Linked DNA regions of Oryctolagus cuniculus. The protein of the gene in region 4 binds, or shares a complex with, the protein of the main gene of each other region. Links are inferred from orthologs where the notes say so. Each region holds a gene or a part of one and is shown on either strand. Other genes may lie near its edges.

Region 1 (3,500 bases), on a different chromosome or scaffold from region 4:
ATTTAAGAACAAAGGACTCATACTATCCTCCTACAGTTGACAATTCCAAATGTTTGCTTCCTTGAATACCAAAATTACCATTTCCTCTCTTGTACTCACTTTCCTCAATTCTGTTTTGAAATTTCTGTTTGTTAACATTTTGAAGTATAATCAGCATTTAATTATATATGTTTAAAGTGTACTATTTGGTAAATTTTGATATATGCGTATTATATATAAATTATAAAATCCCTCACAACACAGTGAACACATGAACACATCCACAAGTTTCTTGTGCATTTTCTTTTATATTGCTTCCTTTCTTATACCTCTTTTCTCAAGCAACCACTAAGTTGTTTTCTCTCAGTATAGTTTCTATCTTCTGAAAGTTTATATATATGGAATCATCTAGTATATACTATTTTGTAAGGCTTCTTTCATTAAGCATTAAGTTTTCTGAATTCTACCTGGTTGTATGTATCAATTGTTCATTCCTTTTTTAAAAAAAATTACTTATTTACTTAAGATTTATTGAATTTTGAGTCCCACCTACAGTAGCCTTTGTAAGGCCAGACCAAATGATTTCACAGGCCTCACAGGACCCATAGGCCGGATGTTCCCCATGCAATAGGGATCATTAAAATTAAATTCCATTTCTCCTTCTCCAAATCACTTTATATTTCTAGGCCTTCTTTGACCATTCCTATCACTTAAAACGAAAAAGTCTTGCACGTGCTTTTTCTTGGCAGACAGACAATGTGAGAACTAATGATCTTATTCTTTTTTTTTTTTTTTTTTTTTGACAGGCAGAGTGGACAGTGAGAGAGAGAGACAGAGAGAAAGGTCTTCCTTTGCCGTTGGTTCACCCTCCAATGGCCGCCGCGGCCGGCGCACCGCGCTGATCCGATGGCAGGAGCCAGGAGCCAGGTGCTTTTTCCTGGTCTCCCATGGGGCGCAGGGCCCAAGCACCTGGGCCATCCTCCACTGCACTCCCTGGCCACAGCAGAGAGCTGGCCTGGAAGAGGGGCAACCGGGACAGAATCCGGCGCCCCAACCGGGACTAGAACCCGGTGTGCCGGCGCCGCTAGGCAGAGGATTAGCCTAGTGAGCCGTGGGGCCGGCCTAATGATCTTATTCTAATATAGCTCAAATTTCTACTCACAAGTAACACAGGCTTTCCGATATGCTACAAAGATAACACTGGAATAGGAAGTCATTTCACACAAAGAGTAATTCTTGGAAAGTTAACATATTGGATAGATTAACTTAGTTTCTATTTTTATAGAACGTGAAACAGGCTCTTGAGGCAATAAAGGTTTTCACAAGAGACATTAACAATACACAGATAACCTTATATAGCCTCCTTAAATACGTGTTAAGATATTACTAAATATTTTTCGGAAAATAGAATGAATAATTTAGAATATAATTATGTTCAAAACCTGTGAGCTGAACAAAAAATCAAATTACACCTTTAATGATATGATGCATAAGAACAAAAAGCACCTATAATACAGTTGGTTAACAGGATATATTTAACATATAATCAAGTATTCTAAAAGTTATGTTTTGGTACTAGTCATTTTGAAGATAAGAAAATCAATGTAGCAATGATACTATCAACTATTAATCAATTTTAAACAAACATTATTACCTCCGTGGTTTTCCCATAAGCCTCCTGATTTTTCCCCATTCTACTCTTGTTAACTTTCTTGTTTTCAGATTAGGAAAAGATTCCTTTAGACATACACAGAAGTCATTATCACCTTCAAAAAGTGGTCTGTAAAACAGACATGGTATTTTAATGGTTAATGTACAATGTCTTATGTTCTTAAAAGACATAAAATTCAAAATATGCACTCCAATTTTCTCTATTGTGCTAATCCAAAAATGCCAAATTTTTACTTACACTATATATATGATATATATATGTGTGTATATATATATATATATATATAGAAAGGCACCAATTCAAAGCGTTAAAACTAAACTAATCTTTGGCATTTGTGAAACTATGTATGAAAGTAACTCAGGAAATGCTGTTTGTGCTAGAGATTCCAGGAGACACTGATTTTTGTTCAATCTGCTACTTAAGAACATCCTTTGGGAGGCTATCCTGGCCTTGGCATTACGTCTGTAAAGAGAAGTAATGTTAACAACAAAGTATCTTTGTCCCAAAGGTAATACCATCACCAAGGAGTTCTCTTTAGGACTAAGCCAAGTTTAGAACACTGGAGGACTCTAGAGGTTTGGATTAGTTTTTGTGAATCTCAGATCACACAAGGACATGTTGAAAGCTCTACAGAAAACCTACAGAAAACCTGTGGACAAGAACAAAAAACCTCTATTCATGAGTTTGGGAAACCAGGACCCAGTCTTAGCAATGATACATAAATGCTTTGGACTGAAATATGAATATTCATGAGATTCACAAGCTTTAGAGGAGGCAACTGGTTTGGAAAGCAGAGAAAAGAAGTAAAGCTAAATAGCCAGCAAAGTAAGCCCCAGTGATGGGCATATGAATACGGATTACAAATCAGAATGTTTCCTCAGTAAATTCTGTTGTTGAATAACTGGATTGCAGCCAAATTTTTTACTATGTTCTACTTACACATTTATAAAGTGCTTAATTAAGTACTATCCTCAAACTAGAAAGAATACTCTCCTAAAATTCTTGAGTTATCTTTACCATGAATAACAATTTCTCCACTCTTATACTAGGACATAAAATTTCAAGATTTCCAAAAAAAATCTCATTCTTTGCAAGTTAAGGTGTTCTGCTTAGGTTATCTCCATAGTCTTTATAAATTATAATATATAAAGTATGCTTTCATTTAATTTTTCACAAAAATATATAGCTTCTTCCCTAAAAAGGGGAAGGAAGAAAAACATGAGAAATAAAAACAAACTGAACTGGAAAGAAGAAATAGGAAAACAGACTCAAGGAGAAAAAGGATCAAATTAGACCTATTAAAAAAGTTGTAGCTTATAACATTTGAGAAACTTAAATTTCTAGTCCAAGTAATAGCCATGATACATACTTATCTATATTTGAATAGAACCACTCATATATGCACCATTTATGAGCTTTGGGAAGCTTGAGGAGGTTACGTAATCGGAAACCAATCTTCTGTGATGCTTTCTTATCTGGTGTTGACATTGTCGCTGTAAATTTCTATGCAATAAAAAACAGAGATTAATAACAGTTCCAGCAAGTAAAAATGAACATTTTTAACATTGAGTATATCTGTAAACTGATAATTACTCACAACGATTCAACATGGAATTTTTTGTTATTGCTTAACAAATAAACATTCTAGTAATTTCGTTTACTTACCTGAGGAAGTAAAGATATGGAGAGAGTGGGAGAGACAGAATTCTCATCTGCTGGTTCACTCCCCTAATGTCCACAATGGCTGGAGTCAAGAGTCAAGAACTCAGCTCAACTCACCCTCATGGGTGTCAGAGACTCAAGTACCCGAGTTATCACCTGCTGCCTTCCAGGGTGTGCCTTCACAGGA
Region 2 (4,099 bases), on a different chromosome or scaffold from region 4:
CCAGAGGCCACACAGAGGCCTGTGCGATCAGAAGCTGCTCATGACCGCAGAAATCACCGCATGAGATGAGCAGGGGGCACCAAAAACTAGCTTAGGGGCCCCCAGCGGGCTCTGGGCCCCTCAATTCACACCAGAGGGCCCACTCTGCAACAACCTCATCAGGCAACCTGTGCACAACACAGCCACTGGCCCCCCACGGGCCCTCACCCTTGCTGGTCGCCCATCCACCCTCCAGCATCACCTGCCCACAGCCTCCATTTCCAGCTTGTCCCCGACACCCTGACTTCTTGTCTGCAGAACACGGAGGCCACCCTGCCATTCTGCCCTGCCAGCTGCATCTCAGCCCGTGAGACCCTGCCACCGCCTAAGAGCACGTGGATGACAAGAAAGCAGCGTCACCAGCCACGGGACCAGCACAGCCCTTGTCTGTAGAACACGGAGGCCACCTTGCCAGTCTGCCCCACAGCCACTCCTCAGCCCGTGAGACCCTGCCACCTCCCAACAGCACACACTCCGAGTCCTTCAAATGCAACGATGACCAGCTAGGGGGCCAGCACAGCCCGTGCCCTGGCCCGGCGACCTTGCTGGGGTGGCGGGGTCCCCCTCCTCCAGCACCTGTCTGTCCTTCCCTCCCACGCCTCTCTCCGTGCCACACAGACGGTGCCAGCCACACCAACGTGGAACCACAAAGGGCTTCGAAGATGACATCAGTGAGTATCTAAGCATTTAAAGAGACGAGAGCAAACTGGTCCAGAAACCAGAAGCATGCGGCTGGGCATGGGTCTGGCACCACCCTTTCTGGGCAACTGTGGGAGTCCAGCTGCTTCGGGGCACCTGCCACATGTTGGCACCTCCAGGAGTGATGGCACCAACCAAATGACAGCAGTTTTAAAATGAACATCAAACCAAAACCCTGCACACAGCGCCCGGAGGGCTGCGCGCCTCCCTGCGCAGGCCTGCATCCGAGGACAGGGAGCCCCTGACCGGCACAGACAGAGGACGCGGCTCAGGAAGTTCGGGAAATCTGAGCTGACAGAAGGCGCTCCAAAGCCACCCAACCTGCAGTCGCGCACAGAGGCAGCAGGACCAGCCTGCTTCCAGCTCTATGCAGGAGACGAGCACGCAGCCCGTCTGCACCAGTGTGCAAAGACCCCGCGTTTCAGGGAATCTGACGGCATGATGGGAAACTCAGTTCATTCTTGGACCTAAGAGCCTATTTCTCCACCCAACTTTAAAAAGTTACCGAGAAGGGGATGGTATTGTGGCACGCAGAGGGTTCAGTGGGCACCTGCAATGCCAGCATCCCATAGGAGCACCAGTTCAAGTCCCGGCTGCTCTGCTTCTGCTCCAGCTTCCTGCTAATGCGCCTGGGAGGGCAGAAGATGGCCCAACTGCCTGGGCCTCTGTCATCAGGCTGGGAGACCCAGATGAAACTGTTGGCTTTGGCCCGACCCAGATGTGGCTATGTGGCCATATGGCCATCTGGGGAGTGAACCGGCTAATGGAAGCTCTCCCTCTGTCTCTCACCCTTCCAAATAAACAAACCAACCTCTCTTAAAAAGCCAGGAAATACTAATAACTCAGGTTTTGCCCCTCTGACAAAGGCACAAACAGGAGGGGCTGGTGCCAGGCACAGGTGTTTGAGCATTAAGCAAAGGTACTCACATCTTTTGCCATGTTACCAGGTCCAGGAAACCAATGCTATCAACATTCACTCTCCAAGGAAGAAAAGACTTTTCTGGTTAAAAAAAAAAAAAAGAGAGAGAAAAAAGAAAAATGAGCAAGGATGAAAAACTAAGTTTACAAGATGTCCCACTTTAAAGGAGACGTCTCCCCCGCCTGCACGAGGGCCTGGCGGCTGAGATTTCTCGCTAGAGCCTGGACGCAAGGCTCTCGCAGCGCTCGCCACCCTCAGACCCCGCGAGCAGCCCGGAACCCCCCCGCCCCGCGCACCCCAAATGGCCGGTCCGGAGGCGAGACCGCGGTGAGCCCGGGGCGCGCTGCCCGCCTCCGCAGGGTGGGCTTGGGTCCCCCACTTAGGCGCACACGACCACCCAACAGGGCACAGCCCAAACGTGCAAGTTCCCAGGTCTTCCCCCGGACCCTCCAGGGGCTGCGCGCCGGGCTGCTCGGCCGCCGACCGGTAACTCTGACAGGTGGGCTCTCGGGTCCCCGCCCGCTGCGATCTGTCACTAGGCCGCAGCCACCGCGCGCACTCCAGCCCCGCGGCGCCTCCCGCCCCGCCCCGCGCGGCCCGGCCCCGACCCCGACCCCGACCCCCAAGGCGCGGGCGCGGCCATCGGCCCCGGAGGCCAGGCCCCGTACCCCCGCCCGCCCCGCCCGGTCACCTGGGAGCCCCCGCCCGCAGCAAGGGCGCCTGGCGCGGGGCCCCGGCGCCCAGGAGCGCGCGGGGCCCGGAGGGCGCGGGAGGGCCGGGGCCGCGCGGCGCCCGCACGCGGCGGGGACGCAGCTCGGGGGCCGCCGCCCGCCCGCGCCCCGCGTGGCCCGCGCCCCGCGCTCGCCCGGCCCCGTCGCGCCGGCTCCCACCGCATCCTCCGCCGCCCGCACCTGGCTCGCCCGGTATGGCCGCGCAGTCTGGGGCGCGGGCCGCGCGGGGACACGGCCGCGGGGCGCGGGCGGGCGGCGGGGGCCGGGCGGCGCTCCCGGCCCTGGCGGGGTCCCTGCCCTGGGCCAGCGGCGCCGGGACGCGGGGCTCACCCTGGCCGAGCGTCGGGCCGGCGTGACGTGCGCGCGGCGCGGTGACGTGGGCGGCGGCGGGCCCGCTCCGCGCAGCGCGCCTGCGCGCATTTTCGCGCCTTCGGAGCCCTCCTCCTCCTCGGCGCCCTCCTCCTCCTCCGCCCCTCCTGCTCCCGCTCCTCCCGCCGGCGCTGCCGCCCTGGGGGAGGGGAGGGCCGTGCGCGCGTGTTCGAGCCTGCGCGTGCGCCGGACGGGATGGAGCCAGCCGGCGCTAGGGATGCGCGCGCGGGTCAGAGGGGCCACGTGTGTGCGCGCATGAGTGTGTGTGTGTGTGTGTGTGTGTGTGTGTGTATGCACGGAGCGAGACTGTGGGAGGAGACCCAAGCTGTGTGTGCGCACACAGAGCTGCAAGGGGGCCGGGGTGGGGGGCAGAGCTGGAGGCGAGACATGGGTGTAGGGGGTGGAGAGGAGGCACCTGCAGGGCAGGAGGCCAAGAGCACTTGCTGTGTGCATGGAAAAGGGGGCCAGTTGTGTGCTCGCCTGTGTGCATGGGGCTGGGGCTGCTGTGTACACCAGTGCGTGTGCACAGGGAGGAGAAGGGGTCAGGTGCAAGTGTGCACGTGGAGGAGTAGCAGATGGAGGCAAGCCAAGCGCGAGGGTGCCGCACAGACCAGGGTCCTGGGCGCGTTGGTTTGCATGGATGCAGGGGTGGAGGCAGGCGCTGAGCTGGCGCAGGTGTCTGGGCAGGGAGGGGAGGGGAGGGGAGGTCTCCAGCCCTGCTCCGCATCCCGGCGGCTTCCTCACAGAGTCCCAGCGACTCCACACCTCCTGGGCGCCAGGGCAGGCAGCCTTTCCACGGAGAGTGGAACTGGGCCCTGCCCTGCAGACACAGCTGTCACCTAGGGCTGGCGGCAGGCTGTGGAGGCCGGTCCCGAGCCCAGGCTGCACGGAGTCCCACACAGCCATAACAAGGGCTCTCCCACCCTGCACCCCTCTGCACACCTCCAAGTCCCACCCCATCCACACCCACTGCACCCACTCCTGCCCAGGAGAGCCCCACCCTGGCAGCCTGTCCTCTGTGCCAGCAGTTCGGTTTCTTTGTGGCAGAAACCTTCCTGTCTGGTTAGCACACAGTAGGTCCTTAGAGAAGGTTGATGGGGCTGGGGGGAGCGGTGTTTGGCCCAGGGATGAGGACACTGATCATGTCACCTGAACCCCACAGGGCTTCAAGGCCCAGCTCTGCCTCTGACCCCTAATCTGCACCCTTGGAGGCAGCAGGTGATGGCTCAAGTACCTGGGTCTCTGCCACCACATGGGGGACCTGGATGGAGTTCTTGGTTCCTGGCTTCTGCCTGGCCCAGCCCTGGCTGTTGTGGGCAGACTGAAGATCTCTGTCTCGCAC
Region 3 (3,500 bases), on a different chromosome or scaffold from region 4:
GAACTGTTTTTTTGGGGTGGGGAGGGAATACTCAGAAAAAGACATTCTTTGTTTCCTTTGGAATCATTATATTTAAAGACACATAAACTGCAGTTCTTTCCTCAGTGCCAGGAAAAAGCTACCTGCAGCAGCAAAGAATGTGACTCACGCACAAGTGAGGCAAAGCTTTAAGACGAACAAAAGCACACCCACTCGTATCAGTAAGTCATGGATCTACAGCCTCAGGCCTATTTCTGTCCCTGGACTTTAAAACTATGCAAACTAAGAAATAATAAAGTCTCTCTTCTGTTTGAGCTCATCTGTGTCAACATTCTATTGCTTAAAACGTACTGCAGTGAGACATAGTGTCTAGTAAGTCCAGTTATTATTCCAGCATACTTATCATAAAAGATAGACTTTAAATTACATTGACTTCTTACCTTCAGAACACTTTCCTTTATTTAATAAAGACATTTTCTGAATTATAACTAGAACTCATCCTGGAATGTGCAACATATAGCCCTGAATAAATGGGATCTGGGTACTCACACTCATCCAGTCCCAGCTGATAGGCCAGGTTCTGTAGGCCTCGTACCTTCTCCATCAAATTAGCCGTGGTGAGGCTTCCCAGTTCTGAAACAGAATCATTTATTTCAATACTATTTCTTCCTACTATCTTCTAGTAATATTTCATTTGGGTTGGGAATATTTTTCAAGCTTAATTTTTTTTTTACTTTTTAAAAATGGGTTCCTTAAATATTTATTTACTGATTTACTTATTTATTTATTTGAGGCAGAAAGGGAGAGAGAGAGAAATCTCCCATTTGCTAGTTCATTCCCCAAACACCTGCAACGGCTGTGGTTGGGTCAGGCCTAAGCTGGGGACTGAGAACTCAATCTGTACTTCCCACATGGGTAGCAGGGGCTCACATACTTGAGATACCACACACTGTCCCCACAGTGTGCATCCTGGCAAGAAGCTGGAGCCAGAATTTGAACCTTGGACTCTAATACAGAATGTGGATATGCCAAGCAGCATGTTAACTACTACATAAATGTCTGCCTTCAAGCTTAATTTCTATTGAATAAGTAGAAAATGGGTTCTTACACTTTCTCCAATCTTATACGCACATACATACACACAAAATCAGTGAATTTTTACACTATTGCAGAGTGTCTCAGATGAGCTTACCCACTTAATAAGGAAAGCACAAGTACAATAATAAATGAAGTGTTTTACCCTAAAGAGCCTTTTATTCCATTCATTTAGTCTATTACACAAAATGAGTGTATCATTAAAATATAAAACTTTGTATGACTTGACATAGCATTGAGAAAGCCTTGCTGACAGATCTCTATCTTGCAAAATTATATCTTGTCATTATATATTATCCTGTCAATATACACTATATCCTTTGTCATTTATAAGTCACAATTATTTCAATAACAATAAAACAGCAACAATATGCTTACTATTCCCCATTTCCATGAGTTTAGAAAACAAAGCCTAAATATAAATACATATTTTCCCTTCAGAGAGTATACCTAAAATAACAACTTACCTCCCCAGATTTTCATTTAAATAACACTTAATTCTTTTTAAGTTTAAGACACAAGTCAATTTAAATGAAACATACTGGTATTACCCTTAACGAAAAATTTAAAGTTTCTCTAGGAAATACACACTGATAGGGTGTTATATAAATACTATTTCACACATTAGAACAATGAACCTTTTAGATGTCCTTGAAACTTAATTTTTCCATGGGTAGAGGAAGGGATCTACGTTTCAGCATTTCACACAGAACAATGAATTACTTCTGAAATCAAATAAAGGTTTTTTTCTCCCATTTATCATGCTGCAGTCATTATCTATATCTGGCATAAGCAAGCCTTCCTGATCTGTTCAGCTGCTTAAATAGTTCAAGAATCCTGGGTTCTCACTTTAATTTCAGTCTATTATTTCACAACCATCATGAATCTTATCACCAGAAGGATGATGAAAAATAAATAAAGTACAGGAAAATCAAGGAAAATTAATGTTTTTTAATTTAAACTTCTACTTTGTGAATAAGTTCCAAATCATTTATCAAACAACAGCATTCACTACTTATGGTATTCTGTATGGAAGAAATTGATGGGCCAGAAAGAAATAAAGGTAGGTTTTAACTCACTAAGGTAAGGAACTGACAACAGCACATGACGGTCAATCCTAAATAAGGGACTTGTGTTATAGTGGAAAGAGACTAGACTTAAAATAAAAGATGAACTTTAAAATTTTAATTCTTTCTAACAAATCTTAGATTTTATAAAATAAAAAATGAACTTAATTTCAATTGTAACAAATCTTGGATTTCAATATTTTTTGCACTAAAATACACTCATTTTTAATTCCATTTTTCCATGAATTTTTTGAAGTATCTTCATACTTGTAAGGAAATAGTGAAAAAACAATAGCAAAGGTGATTTGTAGAGGAACATAAATGGTGTTGCTTACCTTTCAACATGTCAATATCATCACGTTCTATTTCAGCCATCCATTTGGGTGGGGAGCTAGTAATAGGCTGTCAGAAAATAAGAATATAACCATTCAGACAGGTACACAGCGTGATGAGACCGCCTTTTCCTTCCTTTAGGAAATGTAGCTGGTCACACATACAACCTTCAGGTTGTCTGAAAACATTGTCTTCAGTTTATCCAGGTTGATATGATCTACAAATAGTCACCTTACAGAATAATTCTTTTTATCTTTAAAGTTGGTCTTGGAGAAATGATCTTAGCAGAATTAGGTGTGACCACTAACACTATTATTCTAGGCATACACTAACTTGCTTGTAAGAACAGCTTTGGATCAGCAGTTTTCAATCTCAGTTGCACTCGAGAATCACCTATGTAATTTTAAAAAATACATAAATGCTTTGGCTGTATCCCAGACGTACTGATTTCCAATATCAGGTTCTCAAGAGGATCTCCTGGAAAGAGCTGGACGAGGGATTCCACATACGCATTTTCCAATGGACTGAGAAGTGTAATTTCAGCTTTGGGTCCATCTCTCTTACAGAATTACAATTACTCAGCAGCACCAACTCGTGCCAAACAAAAGACTTTACATGCACCATGTTATTTACAACCAAATCAACCTAACCAAGTAGGCATTATCCTTATTTTACAATTGAGAAAAACCAAGAACAGGGATGATGCTTCATGTCACATAGCTAGAAGAGCCAGGATTTAAAAGGATTTCTAGGTTCAGGTAATCTGAATCTAGAAACCACTATGAGTAGTCTACACTGCCTGGCTTAGAAGGCTCTAAGTCAAATTCACCATTTTACCCCTTATGGGGAAAGATTATCCTAGGAGATCTTAACTTGGCATCCTGGAATGTCCTTGGGACCCTAGAAACAAAATAATATGTACGTGCACAACTCTAAGGTAAAGATGTAGATGCTGAATAAGATTTTTTTTTAATTATGTGTTTATTTGAAAGCCAGAGTTACAAAGAAAAAGATCTTGCATCTGTT
Region 4 (3,500 bases):
TCCATATCTCTGTAACTCTTATCTTTCAAATAAATAAATAAATCTTTAACAAAAGATTTTTAAAAACCCTTAAAATCAAATAAATGTAAGTATGAAAACATCTGTCTACTATCCATAACAACCTACCTAAACCACTATCTTATGCAGAATCATTCTATACAACTTCTAACAGAAACTTATATTCCTCAAATTTTTCATGAAAATCTGATAATATTTCAATCCAATCTATTTTTTTTAAGTTACACTTTACTACAGAATTGTCTTCTTGGTAGTTTAAGATAATTGACAGGGAATACATAAAACTTTCTAAAATTATTAAAAATAAGGGAAACAATTATTAAAGTATGAGAAATGCTATCTTTGCAACATCTTTTGATTAAGACTTTTTTTTTTTTTTTTTTTTTTTTGGGACAGGCAGAGCTAGTGAGAGAGAGACAGAGAGAAAGATCTTCCTTTCTGTTGGTTCACTCCCCAAATGGCTGCTACGGCCGGCACACTGTGCCGATCTGAAGCCAGGAGTCAGGTGCTTCCTCCTGGTCTCCCATGCGGGTGCAGAGCCCATGCACTTGGGCCATCCTCCACTGCACTCCCGGGCCACAGCATAGAGTTGGACTGGAAGAAGAGCAACTGGGACAGAATCTGGCACCCCAACCGGGACTAGAACCCGGGGTGCCGGTGCCACAGGCAGAGGATTAGCCAAGTGAGCCGTGGTGCCAGCCTGATTAAGACTTTTAAATGCTCCTATTGCCCAAATAATTTTTAAAATTATCTTTTTATGATTTTAAGAAAATAAATTTAAATGATAACTTCTAAGGCATAAGCAAAATGTTTTAGTTTATATTACTGAAATCTAGAACTCTTAAAAAAATGTAAAGAAACAGGCAATAAAAATCTCAAGGTACTGAGTATCAGCAGATAACTACACTATCTTCACATGCTTTCCTTTTGTAAACTACAATGTCATTACTCTAAGTGATTCTTTTAAAATTTACGCCTAGGGGCAGAAGTCTGGTGCAGCAATTAAGTTGCCACGTGGGACACCAGCGTCTCATACTGGAAAGTCTATTTAACCTAGCTATCCTGCTTCCACCCCAGCTTCCAGCTAATGTACATCCTGGGAGGCAGCTGGTAAGAGGTTCAAGTACCAATCCCTGCCACCCATGTGAGAGACCCAGATGAAGTTCCTGGCTCTTAGCTTTGGCCTGGCCCAGCCCTGCTAAAGGCATGTGAGGGCTGACGTAACAGACAAAAAGTGTCTGTCTTGTCTCTTTGTCTGTCTGCCTTTCAAATAAAACAAAAAGAAATAAAAATTTTTAAATAAAACTAAGCCTAATAAACTTAATAAAGACTACAAGATACAAAATAAGAACAAAGGCACAGTAAGTACAGATTTTTATCACCTTGTTCAATTCTATCTTTCAATAAATGTTATTAAGTTCTGGCTTAATCTTTACATTTTACATTATAAGAACTGAGAATTGCTCCTTGGGAAAAGTGATGTAACAGGGGTGGGCATTTGGCACAGCAGTTGAGAAACCACTTGGGACACCCACGTCCCATATGGTAGTCCCTGGATTTGAATCCCAGCTCCACTTTTGATTCCAACTTCCTGCTAATACACACCCTGGAAGGGGAGAACAGTAACATAGGATACCCAGACTGAGTTCCTGGCTTCTGGCATGGGCCTGGCCCAGCCCAGCTGTGGCAAACATTTGGGGAGCGAATCAGCGGGTGGCATCTCTCTCTGCCTGTCTCTCTTCCTTCTCTCTGTCTCTCCAATTAAATAAAAAAATTTAAATGACATGACAGACAAGTTGATTAGAAAAACATAAAACAAACTTCATGGATACTGGTAAACTAATTTCATACAAGTAAGAAAATGCACTGTAAGGAGCCAAATACAGCTTGCCCCATTTGGAGCTTAGATAATCTCCACTTCAATAAATTTGTCTAATAAAAGACTGACATCATCAAATCTGAAAGTCATTAAGAATAATTATTTAACCCCCAAAATGATGATTTGAATGATTTTTGACTATTTTCTTCTTTAAGCTATTTTATATACACATACCTCTAACAGACAAGCAATACTACAATCACACAAAAAATTTAAATGAAAACTATAGTATCTATTAAAGCATATGATCATTAGTTCTGAATCATAAACAAAGATTGAAAGAATAAGAGTGGTAGGAAACATACATACTCAGTTGCCTAATGTAAAAATTACATATAAAAGGAAATGTTAATGATTTTTTTCCCAAAATACTTATCTAAGTTAGGATCTAATCAGACATTTTATTTCAGTTTAGAAATTTAAATGGTTATCCCCTGCTTAATATATGTTGTACTTGTCCTATTAATAAATCAAATACCTTCCTAAATGCAACTAAAGAAAAATTTTTGAATAATAAAGGTATTAAAAATATGTGCCTGAACAGGTATGTAAAACTGATTCTGGGTTTGCAAATGGTCCATGGTCGCACAAGGTTTGTGTTGAAGTTTAGATGATCGTTCTGATTTTACTCCATCTTGTAAGTATCCCTCCTGTTCCACTTTTCTTCGCATAGTAGAATTCCAATGATTTTTGATAGAATTATCAGTCCTAAGAAATTAAAGTGTATAATTTAGAACAAAAAATAAAATTTATTCCACACATTTTAATACTGTATTTCTTGTACAAAGTATAAAAACAAACTGCTACAACTGATCAAAGTAGATTTTTTTTAAAAAGTTCTAAAGATAAACTGCATGCCCATATATCAGTAGTTCTGAGCAACAGAGATATTGCAGGGAATAAGACAAAGAAGGGCCCTACTTCCATGAAGCTTACATTCTCATTGGAAATGTGGCAGCATGAACAGAAGAACAGAAAAACAAATAAATAAAAATATCAGTACAAAAGAAATAAAGTAGGATAAGAAAAGTGGGAAATGCGTAATTTTGGCTTGGTGGTGTAGGAAGGCCTCTGTGAGATGACAGCAAAGCTAAGATCTAAATGACAATAAGAATGAGTCATATTAAGAATGTGGGGGTAGCTGGCGCCACAGCTCACTTGGCTAATCCTCCGCCTGTGGCGCTGGCACACCGAGTTCTAGTCCCAGTTGCTCCTCTTTCAGTCCGGCTCTCTGTTGTGGCCCAGGAAGGCAGTGGAGAATGGCCCAAATCCTTGGGCTCTGCACCCGCATGGGAGACCAGGAGGAAGCACCTGGCTCCTGGCTTCGGATCGGTGCAGCGCGCCGGCCGTGGCAGCCATTTGGGGGTTGAAACAGCAGAAGGAAGATCTTTCTCTCTGTCTCTCTCTCTCTTACTGTCTAACTCTGCCTGTCAAAAAAAGAAAAAGAAAAAAGAATGTGGGGGTGGCCAGCGCTGTGGCGTAGCTGGTAAAGCTGCCACCTGCAGTGCCCCCATCATGTATGGGTGCTGTTCGAGTCTTGACTATTCCACTTCCAATCCAGCTCCCTGCTATGGCCTGGGAGGGTAGTGCAAGATGACCCAAG
Region 5 (4,089 bases), on a different chromosome or scaffold from region 4:
CACAACCGAAACATACATGGATCTTTAGATGATCTACCAAAATCACAGTATGGCCATCATAAAAATCAATCCAATTCTCCTGCTCTCTAAACAAAGGACTGATAAATCCAGCATTTAGAATGTAACAGAAATCTCAATTTATCTTTACCGACTTAACAACCTCATATCAAATGCTGGCAGCAAGCCATCACAACTCTCCTTCTTAACAATGAAGGTAAAACTCATGACCAAAATAGAGCTCCCAGAGCTGTATTTCACTTGGATTGTATCCACAGCAAAATCTTCACAACTTAACTATCTGGATTCAAGAAATTGGACTGGGGGTGGGGGGGCAGGGGGTGAGGGCAGAGAAGAACTTCTCTGAAAAGCAAAGGTTATAAAATATCACTAACAGTATCTCAATTGTTATCAGCCAAATGGCAGGGGCAAAGGGGTCACTTGATGGATGACAGAGCCATGAAAGAAAAAAAATAACATTGGTAATGGCTTCATAGTGGTGCTTATGATCAAAAACTGTGAGCATCCAACACCCCAACAAGTTATAGGTTGTGATCCAAGACCTTAAATGCAGAATAAAATGCCAATGCTCTGCCTCCCGAAAGAAACATACAACCCCCTAAACTGGTGAACACCACCCAACCAACACCCGGCAGAGTGGATATTTTCAGTATCACATCAGGAAATCATGGTAAGTGCTAGCGGTTCCTCTAGGCCTCAGCAGCGCCTGAGGTGTAAGAGCAAACTCGAGCCCTCTTCACCCTCAAAGAATAATGTTGATGTCATGACGAGGCTACTGCTTCTTTGCACTCCGGGCAAGTCATGCCTCGATCCACAACGCAATTCTTCCCCCACCCGCCGGCACCCCTCGAAACGCAGCGATCTCTACCCAGAGGAGCCCTCGGGGTACCCCCAGCCTCCTCTACCTCCAGCGGCGGCCGCTCTCTCCTCCCTCGGGCTCCGAGGTGGGGGCTCCAGAAGGTCCCGGGCAATCCCGAGCCCGGGCGGTGCTTGTTTGCCTGACACGGTAGCTCCGGCCGGCCGCCTCCTTCCCCAGTTGGCCCAGACTGGAGCGCTGCAGGGTACCCGGGGGCCGGGGAGCGAGCCCGGGCGGCGACGTCGCCGCGGCCGCCGCCTCTGGTATGTCAGGGGCCGGGATTGTATTTCGAAAGATCCGCCATTTTCACCTCGTCATCACCATCACAGCTCAGCAGCTTCCCCGGCAGCCCGAGCCCGGGCCGCCGCCGCCGCCGCCAGCAGCCGGCCCCCCGCCTCCCCGTCCCCGCCCCGGCCCGCCCCTCCCGAGAGGCGCACACCCACATATCCGGGGAAGCCTCCCGCCGGCCCCGCCAACCTTCAAACGCACCCGGAGGAACAAGTGCTCACGGGCCACGCCAACCTTTCACCCCCGAACCACACGCCGAGCCCGGCGGCCCCGCCGCGGCGCCAGAGGAAGTCGCTCTCCCGGCGGGTCCCAAGTCCGGCATAGGCTTGTGTGCAAAGGCAGCCCAGCAGAAGGCGGCACCGGGACAATAAAGAGCCCAAACTCCCTCATTTTCACGAAACCAACTTGAGGGAGGTGGAGGCGTGGGCTTCTTTCGCGGCGTCCATCTCAGACGCTACAAACATTGTCCGCACCGTGAATGTCACTCACCAACTTTGACGTATTACTCTAACCGCAGAACTACTTTGACAGGACGAGCGATTTCCATATGCTAGCCCTGACCTCTCTGACACTTTCCTAAACTACAGGCACCGACCCTCAGCCAGGTAGGCGGTCAAAAACAAGCCACCAGTTAAAACCCAGGATCCGAACTGTTTCCCTCTCCACTCAACTTTAATCTGGTCACTTCTGTCCACGAACACTGTGACGACCGGACTTCAAAGTGCGACTGGATTTGAAATGTACTGATCCAATTGTGGAAACATTCACGATCAATTTCCAAAATACGGAAAATATAGCTCTAAGCTAAAATTTCTTGCCAAATGTTTTTAGGATCTAAGTCATCAAATTGAAAAACCATCTGCCGCTGCTGTTTTGTTCAATACAGTGAAAATAAACAGTTTGCTTTAGAATAAGACCCCAGTTGCCCCATACTCCCACCAGTTCCTGTCATCATTCAGTTTAATAAGCAATTAAAGGAGAACATACATATTTTCTAATCACCTAAGAAGAAAAACATTAGCTGCAAAGCTTCTGATGAAATCAGCATTTGGAAAAAAATCAGTTACCATTGTTAATTTCAGAAAGATCACCCCTTCAAAAGATAAATTCTATACCACTAAACCACGCCATAAGCTCTAAAGGACCTACGTAAAACAAGCAAATTGAACTTCAAGGTTGCGAATACAGCCACTCTCAGTGCCTTTTTTGAAAAGTTAGTCTGAGGAGAGGAAGGTGGAAGTGGAAAAAGCCATTTATTTCCACCTTGTGTGAAAGGCAACTCCATACAAAAGTCGGCGGCTCCAGGCGTAAACAAGTGCTATCCTCCAGCCGCTCCAACCCCCGCTTTCCTGTGCAGCCTGCTCGGCGCTCCGAGTCTAAAGTGTTCCCAATTCCCTCATCCTTAAACTTCACCAACCCACCGACAGCCCGGTCCACCCGCACCCTGCTGGGCTGTTTACCGTTGCGTGGCCAAGCTGAGCCCCAGCCCGCTCCCTTCCCCCGTGCACCGCGGGAACACTGTGACATTTAGCTGGTGGGCTTCGCGAGGAAAACGGACGCACACGAAGAAGAGTCCATACAAAGGGGCGTAGGAAGAAGGCGGCGGCGGGCAGCAGGCAAAGGAGGGGCTGATACCAAATGACACAGCAGCAAAACCGGTTCCCTGACACCGGGGCCCACACGGCCGGCTTCTCGGACCGCGCTGTGCGCCTGTCCACAGCCGTAGGAGTCCTTCCTCCAGTCAGCCGGGCAGGGCGGCCGGCACGGCGTTGGCCCTGCCGAGTGACAGCCGCCCTCCCGGGGGCCGGCGGGAAGGGGCCGTGCCCTGAGGATCGTCCGCCCCCTGCGGCCCGGGGATGGGGCGCGGCGGCCCCCAGGCGGCAGGTGCCCGCTCTCCGCCACTGCCCCGCCGCCCAGGCTCCCGGGGGGGAGCGGTTCGGCGCCCTCCGCCCGCGCTGCCATTCGCAGCGGAGACTGGCTCCCCCTTTCCCGCCCGCCCGGTAGCCCCCATCTCAGGGGCTGACACTCACCAAAGCCGGCGGCGCCGCCGCCTCCTCCTTGCGCCGCGCTCCCTGGGCTCCCAGCAGCCGCGGCGGCGGCGGCGCCTCCGAGGCACAGACCCGGGTTTGTTCAAAATCACGCGCCCAGCGCCATTCCACCGCCGCATCCCATAATACGCCGGGCCCTCCCCGCCCGCGCGCCCCTCTCTGCCCGCCCCTCCACTCCGCCCGCCCTGCCCCGCCTCGCTTAGCTCCCCGGGCCGGCTTCCTTCGCCCCGCCCCTTCCGCGGCGCCTGGCCCCGCCCCTTGGCAACCCGAGCCGCGTCATTCCGCAAGGCTCCGTGAGTACGCTCCGGCTCCACGTGACTCCGACTGGGCGCCTTGTCAAAGCTTTCGCACGGAATGTTCCATCTCGCCGAGCCGGGGGTGGGGGACGGTGATCCCGGATCGCGCCAGCAGTTGGCAGAGGCCGCCTTCTCGCCTCGCTTCCCTTGTTAGGAAGTCCATGCTGGAGGTGCGTCCTCCAGCATCCTCCCTGTTTGATGTGCTCCTAAGGCGGCGATTCGGCACAAAAGCCGAATCTCTTGGTTTTATAGGTACTGCTTTTGCAGGAGTCGCTAAAAAGCCCCTGGGAAACCACGCAGAATTAAACTTATTTTGTAAGGGACTTCTTGCCTTTTTTGCAATACTGTATACAGCTAAGACTAACGGAGTCAAATTTCTTTGTATTTAGTCATCTTTTCTATTATTATCCCCACTAGTTACAAGACATCCGAATGTGAAGTCGGAAAAACAGGCTGTGAAAGACCACTCAGTTAATAAATGCTCGGTGTTTGAGACGAGACTACACAGCAATAGAAAAGGTAAAAGAATGTAAATGTAACATGGTGTGCAACAGTATGTAATTGCCATTGGAGCACAGAGGAC
Region 6 (3,500 bases), on a different chromosome or scaffold from region 4:
GGCCAGGGTGTTAACCCGCTGCGTCACAGCGCCGGCCCCTATAAGGCTTTTCTTAAGCAGAAATGCATTTTAAGTTTTGTTCTTTTTATAAATCTTTTTGAACCTTAAGTACTACAGGTAGATTTGATTATTTTACTTAAAGTACATACAATTAAAGTAGCCTTACCATTTTATATTCCAAACCAGGGCGAAGATAAACAGAAAAAGACCCCTGAACTTTGGTTTACGTTTGGAGTGAGGATAAGGTCCGAAGTGCAGTGCCACCTACAGTGCCACTGGAGGGAGGGGCAGAGATGAGGCCACCACAAAGGCAGAGAGCAGGATGCAGGCAGCAAGGGGAGGAGGCGGGCGCCCTGGTGTGGTCCCCCAGACACTAGCGAAGACCACAGTCAGAGATCAGCCACTCTGAACCCACGTAGGTGGAGAAGCAGCCGGACAGGCAGGGCGGGTAAGGAAAACACAAACCCGGCATCTTTACCTGTAGGAGGAGCTCCTGCAGCTGGGCCCGCTTCTGTTTTATCCGCTCTATCCGCCTTTGCTTCTCTATCTGTAAAGGTTACAAAACACAGACCCGGGGAGAGCATAAAGGACTGCTCACTTTTCACGTCCCTATTTCTGACACAGCAAGAATTTTCCTTAGAGAAACGCAACCCATTTTACCCATCTTTAGGGACGTGGATTTGGGATGAGAAAGCAGGCACCCCAGTAGAAATATGGCAACTGTCTTTAGAAATGAAATTCAAGTGTTCGCTGAACACTTGGCTGGTAGTACCTGTTGCCGTTATCACTCACGTTCTAGTCAAAGCAGCCAGCACTCAGCTCATGCGGTCACACTACCCCAGGAATGAGGCAAGATCTCGCCGATCGTGGCCTACTTGAGCCCCCAATGAGTGGGACTGCTAACCTCGTCACCACACATGTGCAACACAAAGTCCTGTGTGCAGTGAGAAACACGCATGGCACACTTCCCAGCTGGAAGCAACTAGCGTTCTTTCTCTATTCTACAATGACCTAGAAAGCAACCAGAAGGGGTCTGAAGTTCCTTGCAGTTGATGTCTTTCCTGAGCAGACGTCAAAGCCTTCTGTCAAGTAAAATCTACAGGAGGTCATTGGTTTCGACTGAGCTCCTGCACCAGGCCCAAAAGACCCCACCACAGTGGAGTCCCTGGCGCTAACGTCTGGGCACTGAGCCCAGACCACAGCGTTACTTTGACTCTCGGGGAGACCAGAAGAGGGGGAGGTAAGAGCTGCCCTGGACAGGCCGGTTCCAGTGGGCCTGACAGGGCCCCTGTGCTTCCCGTGAGAAGGGCCGACCCACACCGCTCTGCCTTGCATCTCTTCAGCCCTGTTTTGCCCGTACGGCCAGCCTGCTCTGCCAGCTCACCACAGCAGTTACTGTGTTTTACAGAACAGGGTGCTGCCCAACCCTGGAATCCCCAGGGGGAAAAAAAATTCCAATTCAAATCTTAACTAAATTTGCTGAAATTCTGTCTTTTGAGATATCAAATAACATCTTTTTGGGGGTCTACCCCCCAGATTGCTTCTTACTTGTTCCCCACCTACTTAGGAACTTCTGCCCATGCTCCCCCTCACCACCTTAACACCAAGCTTCACTGTGAAATCTCAGGCTGTCCACCCTTGAAGAACATCGTGCGGGAGTTCATCCAGGCCAAGCCTCCACCCGCCCACATCCAGCCAGGCCAAGCCGCACTGTCCCTGCCTCTAACCCCACTGACACTGCCCTAACCCCGACCAGCCACTGGCTTCCTCCCTGCCCCTTCTCTTTCCCCATCTCCCTTTAACTTCACCTCCAGCCCACACTGAGACACGTCCTGTAAAACATCCTATTACCAACCGTTTCCCAACATTACGGCATCAGGGCCACCCTGCCCAGCACTGAAAATCTGACCCTTCTCCACGCCCACTCTCGGCCAGACATGGCCTGGGCTGTCAAGGCCTGTCCTACACCACCCAGCGCCTCCCCTTCTCCATGGGCACCCTCCACTCCTGCCCCTCCCTCGTGACCCGGCACAGGGGTTACTCCCCTGTAGCCTCTTTCCTAGGAGTAACCACACTCTGGGAACTCTCGGACACTCCTCTCTAAAAGCACAGCGACAGGTCCTGGGGTGGAACCTGGGGCTGAGCACGAGGTGCACAATGACGGATCTTCACCTGCTGAGCCTCTGGATTCAGCAGAACGTTACTGATACGAAAGTTATGTTCAAATTCTACTATGTTAGGAGGAATAAAAAGAAGGGCCTTGTCACTCCAGTGTGTGAATAACGTTATTCTACAACTTTCGATGAGAGCCTGGCTTCTCCCCGGGGAAAGGGAATGAGAAAGACCAAAAAAAAAAAAAAAAAAAAAAAAAAAAGTCAACCTTAATTATCTCTAAAACCCAAATTTAAGCTTAGTTTACTCCAATTCACGACAATAAACAGATTTAGAAACAATATGTCAGGGGACATGCTCACTTAGGGATGAATTTCTACAATGGGCAAGGTTAGCAGAACTAAAGATGTTTTGCCCACATTACTCCAAAGTTCCTTTACGTTGAACACTGTCCATCCTGATAAAGACACAAATGAAATACCATTCTGTTGCTACTGATTTCAGAGCCAAGGGTGAAAGGTTAGCTTTCACAGCTACCTTTAGAGGAACACAGAAATAAACATGCGGCTTGATCCTTTTCTTCTGATCCACACAGCAAGCCTTTCATAAAATTAAGGTGGTATTTCTAGTACACAGTTCACCAAAATTAGTAGAGTACTCAGAATTAGAATAAAAAAAAAAAAGACCTTCTCTAAGAAACAGCAAGAATCACTTTAAGTCATTTAACTTTCCTATCCCTTAGTGTCATCACTGACAAGACTGCTGAGTATACTGCTACTGTTCCTTCCAGTTCCGAATTCTAAAGTGAGAGTCCATTGGAAAAATGATGTCATATTTAAGAACTGCGACTATTTCAATTTTATGTGATTATATGTCTAAACTAAAATGTATCCGATGTAAAATAATGCAAGCAATCACCCACAAACAGGCGGGGGCCTGCTCGCTCACCTCCAGGTTCTGACACTCCTGGGCAGAGTTGGTGGGCAGCCCGAGCCACTTAATTTCTTTTTTTTCCTTTGAAATTATGTTCATCGCCATTAGCACATTTAAAGCATCATAAACTCTTCGCCTAATGTTCTTCTGATCGTAAGCCTGCTAAAAAACATTTTTATTGAGTGATAAATGTTATGGTTAAAATACAGTCACATGATATCAACATATTAAATTAATAATATTCAGATACTTTTTTTTTTTTTTTTGGACAGGTAGAGTTACAGACAGTGAGAGAGAGAGAGACAGAGAGAAAGGTCTTCCTTCCGTTGGTTCATCCCCCAAATGGCTGCTACAGGCCAGCGCGCTGCGCCGATCTGAAGCCAGGAGCCAGGTGCTTCCTCCTGGTCTCCCATGTGGGTGCAGGCACCCAAGCACTTGGGCCATCCTCCACTGCC
Region 7 (4,285 bases), on a different chromosome or scaffold from region 4:
TCCCATGTGGCCTTTATGACACTGGTTCTTTTCTACCACTTTAGTTTCTTTTTACTAGTATGGCAGAAAAAGGCCAAAACAGAGCAGAAAATGGGCAAGGGAGTCCCACACAACAAATACTTATCTTAATAATGCATTATTTTTGTGAGGTAAAAATCTGGGGAATCATTTAACCAAACGTTATCTTTGTAACTATGGTTTTATATCTTAGAAGATATCTCTGTAAAAAGCTACAAAAAAGGTGGCATTAGGGAGTTCGACATTAATTTTCTCCTTTAGATCTAAGATATCTCTAAGCTAAAACCACTTTATGACTTCATTTCTGAAATACAGGTTACACTTAATGATTAAGAATTACAGATGGGGCCGGCGCCGTGGCTCACTGGCTAATCCTCCACTTGCGGCGCCGGCATCCCATATGGGTGCCGGGTTCTAGTCCCAGTTGCTCCTCTTCCAGTCCAGCTCTCTGCTGTGACCTGGGAGGGCAGTGGAGCATGGCCCAAGTGCTTGGGCCCTGCACCTGCATGGGAGACCAGGAGGAAGCACCTGGCTCCTGGCTTCGGATGGGTGCAGTGTAGCAGCCATTTGGGGGGTGAACCAATGAAAGGAAGACCTTTCTCTCTGTCTCTCTCACTATCTAACTCTGCCTGTCAAAAAAAAAAAAAAAAAAAAAAAAAAAGAATTACATAAACCGATCCCAAAATGTAATACAATGCTCCTCTTACTGTTCTACAAATCTTCTTTAACACTACACTCCAGAAGCATAAAAGATTGATAAGTATTTCTTGCAATAATTAAAAGGGGTAGGTTGGGGCCAGCATCGTGGCATAGTGCATAAAGCCACCACCTGCATTGCAGGCAACCTATACAGACACTGATTCATGGCCTGCTCACAGTGATCCTGCCCCAAGCTAATGGCCTGGGAAAGCAGCAGCAGATGGCCTAGGTATTTGGGTCCCTGCCACCTACGTAGGAGAACCTGGATGAAGCTCCTGGCTTCCCATGGTCAACTTCAAATTTCCAGCTCTATGCTTTGACCCCACAAGATGGTGAGTCAGTGGAGCACCTTGTAAATCCAGCCCTCTTGGTTCATGAAAGCCTTTGAACAGAAGGCCACTGAAATGGTGTGGATATGCTGAAATACAGCTGTCCCAGGCTATCTGTAGGGAACTGGTTCCAGGACCCCAGCAGAGAAAAAAAACCAATAATGCTCAAGTCCTTTTTTCTGGAAAAAATTAATTATTTATTTATTTGAAAGAGAGACAAAAAGAGATTTTTCAGCCACTGATACGCTCCCCAGCTGGGGCTGGACCTGGCTGACACCAGGCCAGGCTGAAGCCAAGAGCCTAGAACTCCATCAGGGGCTCCCATGTGGGTGGTAGGAACTCAAGTACTTGAGTCTTCACCTGCTGAATCCTAGGGTGTCAATCAGCAGGAATCTGGAATTGAAAACAGAGTAGGGACTCAAATCCTGGTATTCTGATACAGGATGTGGGTTTCCCGAGTGGTGTCCTAACTGCTGTACCTAAGACCTGTGCCTCAACTCTCTCTTATAAAGTGTAGTATTTGTATATAATTTATCCATATCTACCAGTATACTTTAAATTATCCCTAGGTTACTTATAATACCTATACATCCTAAATGTTATGCAAATAACTGTTTTGCGGTGTTGTTTAGGGAGCAATGACAGTGTTCTGCACGTGGGGCTGTACTACAGGCAGGGCTAAACATCCGGATTAAGAACTGATGGTAGAACCTGGCGCTGAGAGATAAGCTTTGGGTGTGAACCGCCTTTGACCAAACTACGGTACCATCCCGTGTTCAGAATAAGCGAGGCACACCTCCACCCCGGGGGGAGGCAGAAGCTGGGCAGGTTCAATGGCTCCGACTCCTCGCTAACCCTGAGACCTCGGGCAAGGAGCCTGACCTCTCTGGGGGCTTCGCTTCCCCTTCCAGGGAACGGGGATCCCAGGGCAGGTTCGAAGCGCTGAGCAGTGGTGCCTTAGCACGCAATTCATTGGCGCTTTCCCACCGCTACACTTCAGTACCAGAACGTAAGCCGCACTGCATGGGGAGGAGGCAAGGTCTGGGCTCCGGAGACCCCTGAGTGGCGCGGGGTCTCGGCCAAGCCGCTCCGGTTCTGGGCTTCCGTTTCCCGCCGCACGAACATGGGTGGGTCGGCTCCTCTCCACCCACCCGTCTCTGCACTCCTCTGCGCCCGGCTGGGCAGCGACCCTGCTCGCCGGGGAAGCTCCCACCACCCCATAGGCTGGGGTAGGGGCGGGGCGGGGAGGGGCCCGGCGAGGGTCGTCCGGCCGCCCACCTGCCGCCGCTCACCTCTAAGCTGTAGTTGCCCCGGATGGTGGCGAAGTCGTCCAGGGCTTCGGCCGCGCTCCCTTCGTCCAGGTTCAGCTCCTGGCACAGGGCCTGCAGCGCCGCCCCGGCCGCGGCGACCACCGCCGCGCCCTCGGCGTGGGGTTCGTCCTCGAACATCCCCTCAGGCCCCGCGGGCGGCGCGCCGCAGATACCCCCGCGCCTTTCTCCCTCCGGGCGCGCTACCCACAACCACCCGCGCCAAAGCGCGCGAAAATCGGGAGCGAACGAGTGCCGTCCCGCTTTACTCCGCAAAAAAAAAAAAAAAAAAACCTTTTTTTCCTCCGGAGCTCCCAGCTGTCCCTCTCCGGGTATGTGACAACAGGACGGATCTCGGGTCCTGTAAACACCCGACCTTGGTCCTCGGCAGACTCGTGGCCCCAGCGGGCAGGGCCAGTGCGGGAGCGTAGGTTTCGGCCGCCCGCGCGCGGAGGCTGCCGGGAGTTGTAGGCGCCCCCACCCCTGGACGGCCGCGGTGCCACCCCGGTTCCCGCCGCTGTGCCGCCCCGGTTCCCGCCGCTGTGTGAATGCGACGAGGCCTGGTTTTTGGTAGTGGGAAGACCCCCGCCAACCGCCAGGCCGTGGGCCTTGTTGTTTTGTTTTGTTTTGTTTTGTTTTGTTTTTTTTCTGTTCTAGGTCGTCTGACAGAGCCTCGGCCGGAGGCGGAAAACGAAAAGTGGGCCCTTGATGGCCGATGGCCGCCTCAGAGGTCCCCTTATGTCCCCAGCGCCCAGAGTGCTCTGCTGAGTGACCGAATGGGAAGACCCGTGCCTCTCTGTCCATGCAGGCCCAACCCCTACTGTCTTTACTCCCCTTCAATCTATCCCTCCTAAAATAAAGTCTGCTGTACTTTAACTGGCCTTCTCACTTCCTTTGAACCCTACAGTGCTAAAAACCTAACAAGTGGCAGGACCTCAAGTACTTCAGCCACCACCGCTGCCTCCCAGGGTCTGCACTGGCCCGAAGCGGAAGTCAGAACTAAAGTCAGGCACTCCAATATAGAACGCGGGCCCAGCGTCAACCACGGTGCCAGTGGCCTGTCTCTCCTTGACCCCCAACCCCATGGCATGTTACTAAAGGAGGTGTCTGTGAGGACTTTTCAGCTCCCTGGATTCTGGAACTTTCCCAGTCAATACAGTGATTTCAAGCATAGGAATGGCTTGAACTTAACCTGAAGCCAGAGAGATCCTTTTCCAAGGTAATCTGAGCCCGTCACTCCTTCACTTGACATCTTTCAGTAGGGGTTAGCATCGTGCCACGTTGCCATCTGTGATGCTGGCCTTCCACGTGGGCTCCCTTCAAGACTCGGGTGCTCCACTTCCAATCCAGCTCCCTAGGAATGTGCCTAGGAAAGCAACAGGAGACGGGTGAGGTTTTAACCCAGGTTGGTGGTGTGATCTCTGCATTTTGGACAGGTACCGCGGCTGCAGTATGATACATGGATTGTCTGGGATAGAGATTAGAGGCATGGAGATCCCGGGGCTGGCTGGATCTTGGAAAGCAGCGGAAGATGACTTAAGTCCTTGGGCCCCTGCACCCACGAGGGAGACCCGGATGAAGCTCCTGGCTCCACTCTCCAAATGTCTCATCCCTTTCCTCTGCTCCTGAGCAGGGTTTGGAAAGAGGCAGGTAAAGCACCTGTTACGCCTGGTATCAGGGATGGTGGAAAATCTCCATTCCCACCCTAACCTGTGACACTATCTCCAACTACCTTTCTCCATTTTGCTCAGTAATGCTTCTCTAGTACAGAGGTGTGTCATTGTGGTGTAGTGGGTAAAGTTGATGCCTGCGACACTGGCATCCCATATGGGCACTGGTTGGTGTCCCAGCTGCTCCTCTTCTGATCCAGTTTCCTGTTAATGCTCCTGGGGAAGTAGTGGACGATGGCCCAAGTACTTGGGCTCCTGCACC

Evidence for each region.
Region 1: MYBL1 (region 4) and LIN9 share a complex: the UniProt entries of both Homo sapiens proteins name them as parts of the DREAM complex. The link is inferred for Oryctolagus cuniculus from reciprocal best matches to the Homo sapiens genes MYBL1 and LIN9.
Region 2: MYBL1 (region 4) and TFDP1 share a complex: the UniProt entries of both Homo sapiens proteins name them as parts of the DREAM complex. The link is inferred for Oryctolagus cuniculus from reciprocal best matches to the Homo sapiens genes MYBL1 and TFDP1.
Region 3: MYBL1 (region 4) and LIN52 share a complex: the UniProt entries of both Homo sapiens proteins name them as parts of the DREAM complex. The link is inferred for Oryctolagus cuniculus from reciprocal best matches to the Homo sapiens genes MYBL1 and LIN52.
Region 5: MYBL1 (region 4) and LIN54 share a complex: the UniProt entries of both Homo sapiens proteins name them as parts of the DREAM complex. The link is inferred for Oryctolagus cuniculus from reciprocal best matches to the Homo sapiens genes MYBL1 and LIN54.
Region 6: MYBL1 (region 4) and TFDP2 share a complex: the UniProt entries of both Homo sapiens proteins name them as parts of the DREAM complex. The link is inferred for Oryctolagus cuniculus from reciprocal best matches to the Homo sapiens genes MYBL1 and TFDP2.
Region 7: MYBL1 (region 4) and RBL1 share a complex: the UniProt entries of both Homo sapiens proteins name them as parts of the DREAM complex. The link is inferred for Oryctolagus cuniculus from reciprocal best matches to the Homo sapiens genes MYBL1 and RBL1.

Annotation. Positions count from the first base shown.
Region 1 is NC_091444.1:39,131,860-39,135,359, reverse strand, and holds part of LIN9 (protein lin-9 homolog), read right to left. Parts: intron 3,155-3,500; coding exon 3,021-3,154; intron 1,760-3,020; coding exon 1,634-1,759; intron 1-1,633. UniProt on the Homo sapiens protein: Acts as a tumor suppressor. Inhibits DNA synthesis. Its ability to inhibit oncogenic transformation is mediated through its association with RB1. Plays a role in the expression of genes required for the G1/S transition.
Region 2 is NC_091440.1:500,667-504,765, forward strand, and holds the start of TFDP1 (transcription factor Dp-1), read right to left. Parts: upstream 2,801-4,099; 5' UTR 2,719-2,800; intron 2,708-2,718; exon of another isoform or gene 2,569-2,707; intron 2,373-2,568; exon of another isoform or gene 2,349-2,372; intron 1,976-2,348; exon of another isoform or gene 1,954-1,975; intron 1,739-1,953; 5' UTR 1,678-1,738; coding exon 1,666-1,677; intron 1-1,665. UniProt on the Homo sapiens protein: Can stimulate E2F-dependent transcription.
Region 3 is NC_091451.1:20,268,162-20,271,661, reverse strand, and holds part of LIN52 (protein lin-52 homolog), read right to left. Parts: intron 2,544-3,500; coding exon 2,477-2,543; intron 613-2,476; coding exon 529-612; intron 1-528.
Region 4 is NC_091437.1:92,251,480-92,254,979, forward strand, and holds part of MYBL1 (myb-related protein A), read right to left. Parts: intron 2,606-3,500; coding exon 2,434-2,605; intron 1-2,433. UniProt on the Homo sapiens protein: Transcription factor that specifically recognizes the sequence 5'-YAAC[GT]G-3'.
Region 5 is NC_091439.1:82,838,234-82,842,322, reverse strand, and holds the start of LIN54 (protein lin-54 homolog), read right to left. Parts: upstream 2,801-4,089; 5' UTR 2,690-2,800; coding exon 2,623-2,689; intron 1,477-2,622; exon of another isoform or gene 1,364-1,476; intron 1,058-1,363; exon of another isoform or gene 924-1,057; intron 1-923. Other genes in the region: uncharacterized protein, read left to right, coding at 2,801-3,046, 3,167-3,821, 3,924-4,025. UniProt on the Homo sapiens protein: Component of the DREAM complex, a multiprotein complex that can both act as a transcription activator or repressor depending on the context. In G0 phase, the complex binds to more than 800 promoters and is required for repression of E2F target genes.
Region 6 is NC_091435.1:139,892,016-139,895,515, reverse strand, and holds part of TFDP2 (transcription factor Dp-2), read right to left. Parts: intron 3,208-3,500; coding exon 3,061-3,207; intron 548-3,060; coding exon 479-547; intron 1-478. UniProt on the Homo sapiens protein: Can stimulate E2F-dependent transcription.
Region 7 is NC_091442.1:21,409,143-21,413,427, reverse strand, and holds the start of RBL1 (retinoblastoma-like protein 1), read right to left. Parts: upstream 2,801-4,285; 5' UTR 2,495-2,800; coding exon 2,339-2,494; intron 1-2,338. UniProt on the Homo sapiens protein: Key regulator of entry into cell division. Directly involved in heterochromatin formation by maintaining overall chromatin structure and, in particular, that of constitutive heterochromatin by stabilizing histone methylation.